Linked DNA regions of Kluyveromyces lactis. The protein of the gene in region 4 purifies or fractionates together with the protein of the main gene of each other region. This does not show direct contact. Links are inferred from orthologs where the notes say so. Each region holds a gene or a part of one and is shown on either strand. Other genes may lie near its edges.

Region 1 (1,985 bases), on a different chromosome or scaffold from region 4:
ATCAGGTAGATTGATCAAATTTATAACACCAGATGCAAATCCAATAGCCAACTGCTGGCCGTCGTTATCTAACGCAAGAGCAGTGACAAAATGGGAATTTATGGTGGTACTAGATGTTGTAGATGGTACTGGGAAGTTCTGAACTGAACTGTTGTCGACCATAGATTTGATCAGCACATGTTTTTTAGTTTCCTGGTTCAAATAAACTAGGGCAAGGTAGTTATTGTTATTAGACCAAGTTGAAAGTAAAACATTCTCAAAAGTTTCAAGGTGTTTAACCTCAGATTCTTCCTCTTTCTCTTCAACGTTTTCATATAGATCATATCTGTAAGAGTTCCCTGTTTTCTGAACTGTAAGTAATTTCTTCCCATCGCCAAGAACTGCAAATAACTCGCCAGTAATATTCAAAGACCAAGTTTTAATCTCCGTGGCTAATTTACCCTTATACTTCAATATAACTACTTTCGCAGTGTTGGTATACACTCTGATCTTATCCATCTCATCGTCAATAATAGGCTCGATATGCACCACCTCTACAGAAGGCTCATCGAGTATCGAAGTCAAAATATCATTATTAGCAAATTTCAATGTCTTAATACATTGTCTAGTATCAATTGAATACACTTTGAACTGATTGTTGAAAGGGACAATGTATGCTGACCCGTCCTGAGTAAGACAACTCACCGATTTTCTAGTCGCGGATCTATTGTGAATCCTAGGAAGAGCGACCTTCCCACCAGAAACAACAGAAAGCTTGTACATTGGTAACGAAGAGTTTGGCATATTTAACGTGGATTCGATAACAGCTGATACTCTTGTTGGTGCCTCTGGCTGATCCTACTCTTGGTATTTTCTTTCTCTGCTTCTCAAAAGACAAGCTCATCATATAACTCATAAGCTCATCGCATCTTTTCAATTATTTGTCTAATGTGGATTCTTTTTTTTCACCGTATGTAGAATTGTAGTTTTGGAAAATTTTATGGTTGAAACCTGTGCAGGACGAGGATTTGAAAAGAAACGATGGTCATCTCTATCGTGAGAAGTGACATATAAGGGCATCTAATGAAAAATTTGGAACCGATGAAAAATTAAAGTATTAAGAATTAAGAAAGCTGGTTGAATATGATGATTTGTGATGCAAATTATATGAGTTTTCAAAAGGTCGAGCAGGTTTTGATCCACTTATTGTGATAGTTTATAAATCTCGGAGGGTTTATTCCAGGTTTCCAGGTTTCTAGGTTTTTTTTCGTTTCGATATACTTTTAAAGAGAGATGATTGTTCCAGTTAGATGTTTTTCCTGTGGGAAAGTTGTCGGTGACAAATGGGAAGCCTATTTGAATATGTTGCAAGAAGAAGAACTAGAAGAAGGTACTGCTTTGACTAGATTGGGGTTGAAGAGATACTGTTGCAGAAGAATGATTCTAACACATGTCGATTTGATTGAAAAGTTCTTGAGATACAATCCTTTGGAAAAAAGAGATTAGGTGGTCTGCTTTTACTATCAATTGCGATACCCCCTTCTACACTAAAATGGTCCATTCTCTTTAATTACGTCTTCACTTTTCTGCCACTGGTTACTACCGCGTTGTTTTCTTGCGTTCTTTGTTTGCATTTTATTACGTTCGACGTATGGACTCCAGAATAGACAAAACCACTGAGTTTCAATTACCATCTGTTTGCTGTAACTTCTGTTCAGCTGCTGAAACGACAAATAAAGAAAGCACAAGAAGCACGCATGCACGCATGCACACAATTCTATTTCATGTACTATTGCATTGTATACTATTCACATCACCTAAATAAAGCATATTCATCTGATTTTATAAATTTGGTATGTTGGGATTTTAAAAAGTTCATTAATTATTTAAAGACGGGAAGCCTTACATAAGATGTTGGCATATTTCCATGTAGAAACATATTAAGATTAAGTTTTGTTTATATACAGTGATCTCGTAAATAGTAGTCATTATAAAGTGTTCCAGAA
Region 2 (2,199 bases), on a different chromosome or scaffold from region 4:
TGTATCAAAATATCTTCACCTGTCAGATTTCATTGTTTCATTAGTTAATTTTGAATCTGTGATGAAATAAGCCTGGGGCTGCCAGAATAAATTTGTTTAATTTAACATAAATTAATAATTGAATCTTAACATGATCCCTCACCAGAAAAACTGTATCTTAAAAGTAACAACAAATGTATACAAGTTAGAAAGATGTGAAGATATCAAAATTCGAATATCTTGTTCCTTCCAAGGTTTTTTTATTGCAAACAAGGTCACTATTCTGTACTGATAATACCCAAAAAACCCAAAAGAAATAGTCCTATACACAATGAACGTTGAACTTTACGGTGGATAGTAATACGCTCTCCTATTTTATAGCCGAAACACAACACAGTTCATGAAAATAATACATAGAAGGGAAGAGGGGATAGAGAAAAACCGAAGGAGGTTCAATAATTCTTTTGAAAAGATGAATTACCTGACACTTGTTTAATACACTTGAGCAATTTCCAACACTATTACATACCATAATCCTCAGTAGCCAACGTTTGCAAATTCCATTCTGTTTCGAAGTTAGACTGCAGCTGAGCCAACTTATTGATAATGCTATTACATGCGTTCTTCAACGCATCCTTCGGATCGTATCCTTCCACAGTCTGAATTCTCATTTTAAACTTGGCAAATAACGGATGCTCTACCTTATAAGCTGCAAAAAGAACTCCTTCATCTTCTAAAAGTTCGGCTCTAATCAAATTCCCTAGAGTGTGGTCTTCTTTCTCAAACGTTACTATAATAGCACTGGATGCCTTGGTATCTTGCTCTACTTTAAGCTTCGACTCACCTTCCGGTAGTAAAAAAAGTTCAAATCTATCTGGAGCATTCATATCGTTACTCTATATTATCTAGCGGAGCCACTGATTGAATCTGTCACTGGATTGCGCTGCCTTCTCCTGCCAAACCCACACAATGTTGTCTATGGTCACTTTAAAGTTCTGTTGTGAATTTTTCATGTTGAGAAGCGAACTGCAATCAGAATCAGTGAATGAAAAGTGGTTACCCTCAGGCACGTGATATTGAATCTGACCCGAAATGTCGACAGTTCCCAAGACCAAAAAAAAAAAAAAAAAAAAAAAATTCAAAATGGAAAGATTCAAAAAAACATATAAATTGAAATTTAACATTTGAACTCTTTAAAGTATGTATTTAGAGTGGAAATTAAATGCGGTTGCAGAATCTAAAGGGGAACGAGACAAGACATAACCTTCTCTGTGCGATATCAAGGGCGGATAATCGAGTAATTGCTTTGAGCTTATACCAGTACTTTGAGTATCTAGTTCATAGTCTAAGGAGTACACCATTGTTCACGACGTGTTTTTTGGTCCTGTTCCTTTTTTTTTATTGTTTTCTTTATCAATCATCGAGATTTGATTCTGATTAAGGAACTTATCTAACTGCTCTGAGGTACGACCACGATTAGCGCTGCTATCATCTATTCTTTGATCGTGTTATCTAACGCATCGTATTAGTACAAAATTTGGCAATCGTGCTCGAGGGTAAAAGATGTCGGCGCCATGGAACCAACAACCGGATGGTCCACAACAACAACAGCAGCAGCAGCAGCAACAAATTCCACCATCGACTGGAATGATTAATGGTGTGCAAGGTCAAAGTGAGAACAGTCCAAATCTGTTACCTCAGCTCGCGCCTCCCGCCGTTAACATCCAGATAAAACCGGAACATGATCAACAACAACATCACGTGACCCTACCATCGATTTCTACTATTAGTGGATCAAATCAGCCCTCCCAGGGTCAAGGACAGGAACAGGTACAAGGCCAGCAAAACGCACGTTCTCATTCCCATTCACATTCGCATGTGCACCCTCACATCCACGGACCATTGTCTGGTGTTTCTAACCGAATGGATAACATCAATTTACAGAATGGAGGAACTCCTATCAATTCTGCCGCCGGGAGTAACGGTCCTGTCTCAACGAATAGCGAGGGCGCCATCCCTACTCCATCAATTAACAATATCGTTCAACAACCAGATATTACGCATCAACAGCAACAACAGCAATTACTTCAGGGGCACAATGTCCAGGTGGAAAATGCTATGACAGTGGGACAGGATCCACTGCAACAAGCTCAGTATTCTTCATATAGGCCCTTGAACGTCAAGGATGCTTTATCGTATTTGGAACAGGTTAAATTTCAA
Region 3 (2,853 bases), on a different chromosome or scaffold from region 4:
ACTTATACAGAAAAGCAAAGACCGGTGAAATTGCAGCAGGTGCTGAATCCAGTATATTAATGAGTTCTTACGCCATGGTTTTCACCAGGGATCCAGAAACTGTCGACGATAAGGAAACCGAAGGTTGGAAGATCCTCGAATTTGTCCGTGGTGGTTCCAGACAATTCACTTAATGACCATGACTCCGAAATTTTTACTCAGTACAAAAATAACAAATAATAATGATACAAAGCCAATACCTTCCCAACCTTCACTTACTATCGCTCTGGAATAGATTCATGAGTTCGTTATTTGGAAAAAACGGTGGCGGAACACAGCTTTCACTACCTAATCCTGTTCTATATTGCATGCCTGGTAATGTTATTCTTGGATTACTGCGAACTATCAGAGCGTATGAAAGAAATAAAGTGTTGGTTTTGGTCGTAATGTACATTAAATCATCATCATACTAAGTTAGTTTATATTTTACTATATAGATTATCGTCGTTTCTGTTTGACGAAGAAGGAACAGAACGACGACAAGAGAATTCGTGTTAATAGTATCCTAATCCTTCTATAATCCCTAGGAGAAGAAGTTCAGTTATATGTTTCTTGGTGGCCTGTATATCGCATTCTTACCAAATAAGTTCCTAATTATACTTCTGCCAATATTACGTCCTGCTTGTCTGCAATATTGTAACCATGGCTTGGCAACGATATAAAATAACGAGAGAAAGACACCCTGCAAAAATGGACTTATCAAAATATCTCTAGCAACAACTTTTGCAACGATATATGGTGTAATGGGAGGATCTACGACAGATCCATCAGCCACCGATAGAGTTAATTTATTCTGTTTCAAAGCTTCTTTCCTCAAGGACTGCTTAAAGGTCTGTTCAAATCGCAAATCTGGCAATGACGCCTTTACTGAAACTTTCTCATCCACACGGGCAATTCCTTTAGGCATGGTAAAAGGCTGATTATCTGTGGATAACTCACCTTATTTTAAATTCGGTGATGTGTAATTGTACTTGATATTTCGCCTATTGCGTGGGATCAGCTTTCTAATATGTTCAAAAACCGATTTGAAGGTCCTACAAAGAAGAAATAATGCTAATAAGAAAGAAATGGGGCCACTATTGTTCGAAGAAGTTAACTATAGGTAATAAAGGCTATATATACATGACTCCGAGCAATATTATTCTTAGCTGAGCCTATTTGAAACAGTATTGATGGAATAGTCCTATGCACGTGACCAAACGCTGCCAAAGCTCAAAAATTTTCCAACTGAACAAAAGTGAAAAATTCATAAAACAATAATCGAATGCACCAAGGGAACGAGAACAAATCATTTCGTTGCTGTAGTTTGGTCAATACTCTGGTATTTGATTGAGCAAGGAGCAGGTCATATCTTAGGGAGAAATCAGAGTTTAATACTGCGAAAGAACAAATGAGCGAAGAAGGTCCCCAAGTAAAAATTAGAGAAGCAACCAAGGACAACGTTGACTTTATACTTTCTAATGTCGACTTGGCTTTAGCAAACTCGTTACGTAGAGTCATGATATCTGAGATTCCTACACTAGCCATCGATTCTGTTGAGATTGAAACTAATACTACTGTGTTGGCAGATGAATTTATTGCGCATAGACTTGGGTTAATTCCATTACAAAGTGCAGACATTGATCAAGTTGTATACTGTCGTGACTGTTACTGTGAAGATCACTGTGACCGTTGTTCAGTAGAGCTAATACTACATGCTATCGGTGAGAGTGAATCCACGACGAACGTTTATGCTAAGGATTTGCAGATTACCAGCGATTTGAAGGGTAGAAATATTGGCCATCCAATTATACAAGACAGAGAAGCAAATGGTGTATTAATCTGTAAACTAAGAAAGGGACAAGAGATAAGAGTGAAATGTATCGCTAAGAAGGGTATTTCAAAAGAACATGCGAAATGGTCACCATCAGCAGCTATAGAGTTTGAATATGATCCATGGAATAAGTTAAAACACACAGATTACTGGTACGAACAGGATGCAAGGGACGAATGGCCTCAATCTAAGAATTGTGAATTTGAAGATCCTCCTAACGAAGACGAGGATTTCGACTACAGGGCCAAACCTAATACATTTTACATAAACGTCGAGTCTGTTGGTTCCATCACTTCGGAACAAGTCGTCGTACGTGGTATCAAAACTTTACAGGATAAAGTAGCCGACATATTATTCTCATTAAAGAAGATGGACCAAGAGAAAGTTAATTTCGCAGCAGGAGCTGTATCTACGCACGTATCACAACAAGTGCCGATGGAAGAAGATATGGATCCTTATGGAGGGCCAGTAGGAGGCTCAGGATACGATGATGCATGGTGAGACAAGACAACAAGAAAAAGCTACCACAATTATCGTGAAAGGCAACGATTTTTCTATAATTCATTGACGAAACACAAGGCATATATTCCTTAATACTAGCATACTCAAAGGCACTAGCAGCATCTGCTACCATCCAATCTACCACGTCCGTTCAAAAGTTGAACGGTCAAAAATGTTTCAATATCTCTATCTCTATATAGAATGTTTATTTCCATCGAAAGTGTAACTATTAGACAAAGACTGGAAGCTAAGCGTGTTTCTCATGGTTCCATTGGACACAGTCCTCGAACTTTACAAGGGATCCACCAAAAATATCAAGAGCACTACCAAAGGTCAAATCAATTTTGCCATGACTCAATTTCTCTACTAGCCTTAAATCATCCACACTCTTAGCGCCGCCTGCGTATACGATTTTCACTTTTGGAATATCCGCAGTCCATTTGTACAAATGAGCCACTAGCTCTTCATCAATCCCATTACATAGACCCTCTACATCTGCT
Region 4 (2,848 bases):
TGAATTAACAGATTTTTTTGAATATATACATTTTACATATATGAATTCCACCCTCCCGCGTTTAGATTCTCAACAAGAGCGGCATTAAGGAACGGATATTCATAAACGGCAAAAGTTTTATAGGAAGGGGGATAAATATTTGAACATCTGATACCATTGCCAATCCAATTCTCTTAGAGCTAATTTGAAATTCGTCCTCATCGAGTATCCCTGAACACCTTGTCTATTATGAAAGATAGCACTGAAAACAGTTTTAGCCGTCGTCATATCCTGGTGCGGTTTAGAATTAAGAGCTTTACCAAAAATCAAAAGTAAGCAGCGAACTCGGCCGTTGCTGATCAAAAAATTCTTCTTATATTGCTCTTTCAACGTCTGTTCAATCAGTTGGAGTAATTGAAACTTCGTTGCTTGTATGGCACCATAAGAAGACTTATTTTCCGTAGTGTATAAGCCTTCCGTTGAAGCAATGTCAATTATATAACCGCGATCGTACGCTATCATTTTAGGTAAAATATGCTGAATAATATGCATGCTGCCCGCATACACTGTTCTCATTAACTTTCTCAAACTCACACCTTTCCCCACTTCGGCGTCAGTAAAACTTTTCAAGGAAACCGCATTGATAAATACAGTGATTTGACCAAATCTTACTGAGATATCATCCAAGATTAATCTTGTATATTCAAAGTCAGAAATATCGCACTTGTAAAATGACACTCGATGAGGTTCAATAAGATTTAATGGGTATCTTTTATCAATGAGAATAGTCTTATAGCCCAAGGAATCAAACATTGTAACGAGATGTGACCCAATACCTCTCGAGCCCCCAGCAACTACAACAATGTCCTTTTGTGGACACAATGGTATACCCACAAAAGAGGTAACTAAATCTTCAAGAACTCTAACATATTGAGTACCTTTTTGATCCAACGCAAAATAGTTTAAGCTATTCCAAAACATAGCTACAATCAGAGACCCTTTCTCTGATAAAAACTATTCTATACTATGACCAATGAAAGTTATACCAACTCTAATTGCCATCGTTTTCTTTACTGTCACTAATTGACGTTCTTAGCGTCAATTTTCCAACTTTCTTCATGTTTTGCTCAGAATCATTTTGTCTAGGAAAACCAAATTTACCTTTTCAACTTAGAATAAGAATCATTTGATCCAAGACCAATGGATTAATGAGGGAATCACATAGCAGAAACGACTCTGTTCTACCTACAGAAGCAAATATATCTGACATGAGTAAAAGCATATCTGGCGTGGAGTACATCAGAGTGAAAAGACGTCGGGATGAGGATTCCGTACAGGCTTTGCTCTTAGAAGAGGAGAGAAACGCAAAAAAAGGGAAGTTCGTGTTCAAGCTATCTAAGACTGTAGAGCTTGAGACTCCCGATGTTAACAGTCCACTATTGAAATTGAGTAATGAGAACAATGATAAAAAAATGGTTTACGTTCTTGAAAGGGAACGGGAGCGCCAGGCAGCGTCAGAATTGCAAGAAGAGCTACCGGATAGCATTGCGGAAATGCTAAATGACTATCTTAAGATAAAGGAGAAGGACTCACCAGAGCACAAGAAACGCAAGGCAAGTCGAAAACATTCAAAATCATATACAGCTCCGATCTTGCCTCCTACAGATTACGTTTACGATGTGTATGTGAAACAAACCATACCAGAAGATGAGGAGGAGTTCGTTTTCGATAAGAGTACTATCGGATACATCAGAATCGTTGAGCATAATGGGGACATGATCCCAGAAGAAGAAGTAGATCCAGAGAAAACAATGTTGACTGACGATGAGGATTCAAATGAGGAAGATTATTATCAGAACGATTATCCGGAAGATGAAGACGATGACAGATCAATTTTTATTGGAAGTGACGAAGATAGGACGGATTCAGAAGATATAGTATACCTTGACGAATTAAATGATGAACTGGATCAAAATTATAATGTGGACGGTGAGCAGGCTAACGAAACCACCAATGATAATGGTGATGAGTTTGATGCATTATTTCAAAATTACGGAGAATCTTCCAATCTTTTGAGCTCGTTGAATGCCAATAATTACGTCGACTTTGACTACGACGACGATGACCATGCCGATAGTGATAATGACAACGGTAAATACGACGGTGACTTTGTCAATTTGAAGCCAGAGGCTGATGACGATCACGATACTGGAATGGACGTAGATGATCAGACATTCAAGAGAAATTACTTCTTCCCAACTGACAAAGACGATGAAGATGCTATACACAGAGATCGTATATTCGGCAAGCTGCAAAAGATGATAGATAAAGTGTGATTAATTTGGTCGTTTTGGATGTCTGACACAATTCCCTTGTTGTGAGTCAGATATTCTTTGGGATGGGGAATGGATCATTGAAAAACTGCGGGACTGTTATTCTATTATGTACAGGTGTTCCAAAGAGGAATTTTTGCGGTTTTTTTTTTTTTGAGATGAGAACTACAACCGCTAGGTTCCACAGAAAAAGTCGTTGATACTGTGAAATGTCTGGGTGTTTGGTGAAAAATTTCTGAAGTCTCATTTCCTGCGTCTGCAAGATTGACCAACTTTCACCAATTGCAAAGCTCTAGGTTAACAAAGATGATGTGCAAGCATTCCCAGTTATACTTGGCTCCTGCATTGTTTGTTGAAACAGGCGTTAATTACAGTATTACAGTATTACAGTTGAGTGCATTTGCTTTGTTTTGGTTTTGGTTTTCAGATAGGCTGTGAGCGAATACAACAAGACAAGATGAAGTACATTCAAACTGACCAAGTCCTAGATGTCCCAGAAGGTGTTACCGTCCAAATCAGATCCAGAAACATCAAGG

Evidence for each region. The genes of interacting proteins can lie anywhere in the genome.
Region 1: the proteins of IWR1 (region 4) and RPB10 purify together in Saccharomyces cerevisiae (affinity purification with mass spectrometry, with the first as the bait; 4 studies listed by BioGRID). This does not show direct contact. The link is inferred for Kluyveromyces lactis from reciprocal best matches to the Saccharomyces cerevisiae genes IWR1 and RPB10.
Region 2: the proteins of IWR1 (region 4) and RPB11 purify together in Saccharomyces cerevisiae (affinity purification with mass spectrometry; 5 studies listed by BioGRID). This does not show direct contact. The link is inferred for Kluyveromyces lactis from reciprocal best matches to the Saccharomyces cerevisiae genes IWR1 and RPB11.
Region 3: the proteins of IWR1 (region 4) and RPB3 purify together in Saccharomyces cerevisiae (affinity purification with mass spectrometry; 9 studies listed by BioGRID). This does not show direct contact. The link is inferred for Kluyveromyces lactis from reciprocal best matches to the Saccharomyces cerevisiae genes IWR1 and RPB3.

The regions. Positions count from the first base shown.
Region 1 is NC_006040.1:576,062-578,046, forward strand, and holds RPB10 (DNA-directed RNA polymerase core subunit RPB10), read left to right. Parts: upstream 1-1,272; coding exon 1,273-1,485; downstream 1,486-1,985. Other genes in the region: NAN1 (Nan1p), read right to left, coding at 1-783. UniProt on the Saccharomyces cerevisiae protein: DNA-dependent RNA polymerases catalyze the transcription of DNA into RNA using the four ribonucleoside triphosphates as substrates.
Region 2 is NC_006039.1:542,739-544,937, forward strand, and holds RPB11 (DNA-directed RNA polymerase II core subunit RPB11), read right to left. Parts: upstream 867-2,199; coding exon 501-866; downstream 1-500. Other genes in the region: transcriptional regulator SIN3, read left to right, coding at 1,543-2,199. UniProt on the Saccharomyces cerevisiae protein: DNA-dependent RNA polymerase catalyzes the transcription of DNA into RNA using the four ribonucleoside triphosphates as substrates. Component of RNA polymerase II which synthesizes mRNA precursors and many functional non-coding RNAs.
Region 3 is NC_006040.1:1,362,309-1,365,161, reverse strand, and holds RPB3 (DNA-directed RNA polymerase II core subunit RPB3), read left to right. Parts: upstream 1-1,429; coding exon 1,430-2,353; downstream 2,354-2,853. Other genes in the region: protein translocase subunit TIM44, read left to right, coding at 1-173; KLLA0_D16192g (uncharacterized protein), read right to left, coding at 581-946; 1-(5-phosphoribosyl)-5- ((5-phosphoribosylamino)methylideneamino)imidazole-4-carboxamide isomerase HIS6, read right to left, coding at 2,601-2,853. UniProt on the Saccharomyces cerevisiae protein: DNA-dependent RNA polymerase catalyzes the transcription of DNA into RNA using the four ribonucleoside triphosphates as substrates. Component of RNA polymerase II which synthesizes mRNA precursors and many functional non-coding RNAs.
Region 4 is NC_006041.1:814,973-817,820, reverse strand, and holds IWR1 (Iwr1p), read left to right. Parts: upstream 1-1,187; coding exon 1,188-2,315; downstream 2,316-2,848. Other genes in the region: KLLA0_E09153g (short-chain dehydrogenase/reductase), read right to left, coding at 118-960; RPL9A (60S ribosomal protein uL6), read left to right, coding at 2,770-2,848. UniProt on the Saccharomyces cerevisiae protein: Directs RNA polymerase II nuclear import. Binds RNA polymerase II in the active center cleft between the two largest subunits in the cytoplasm.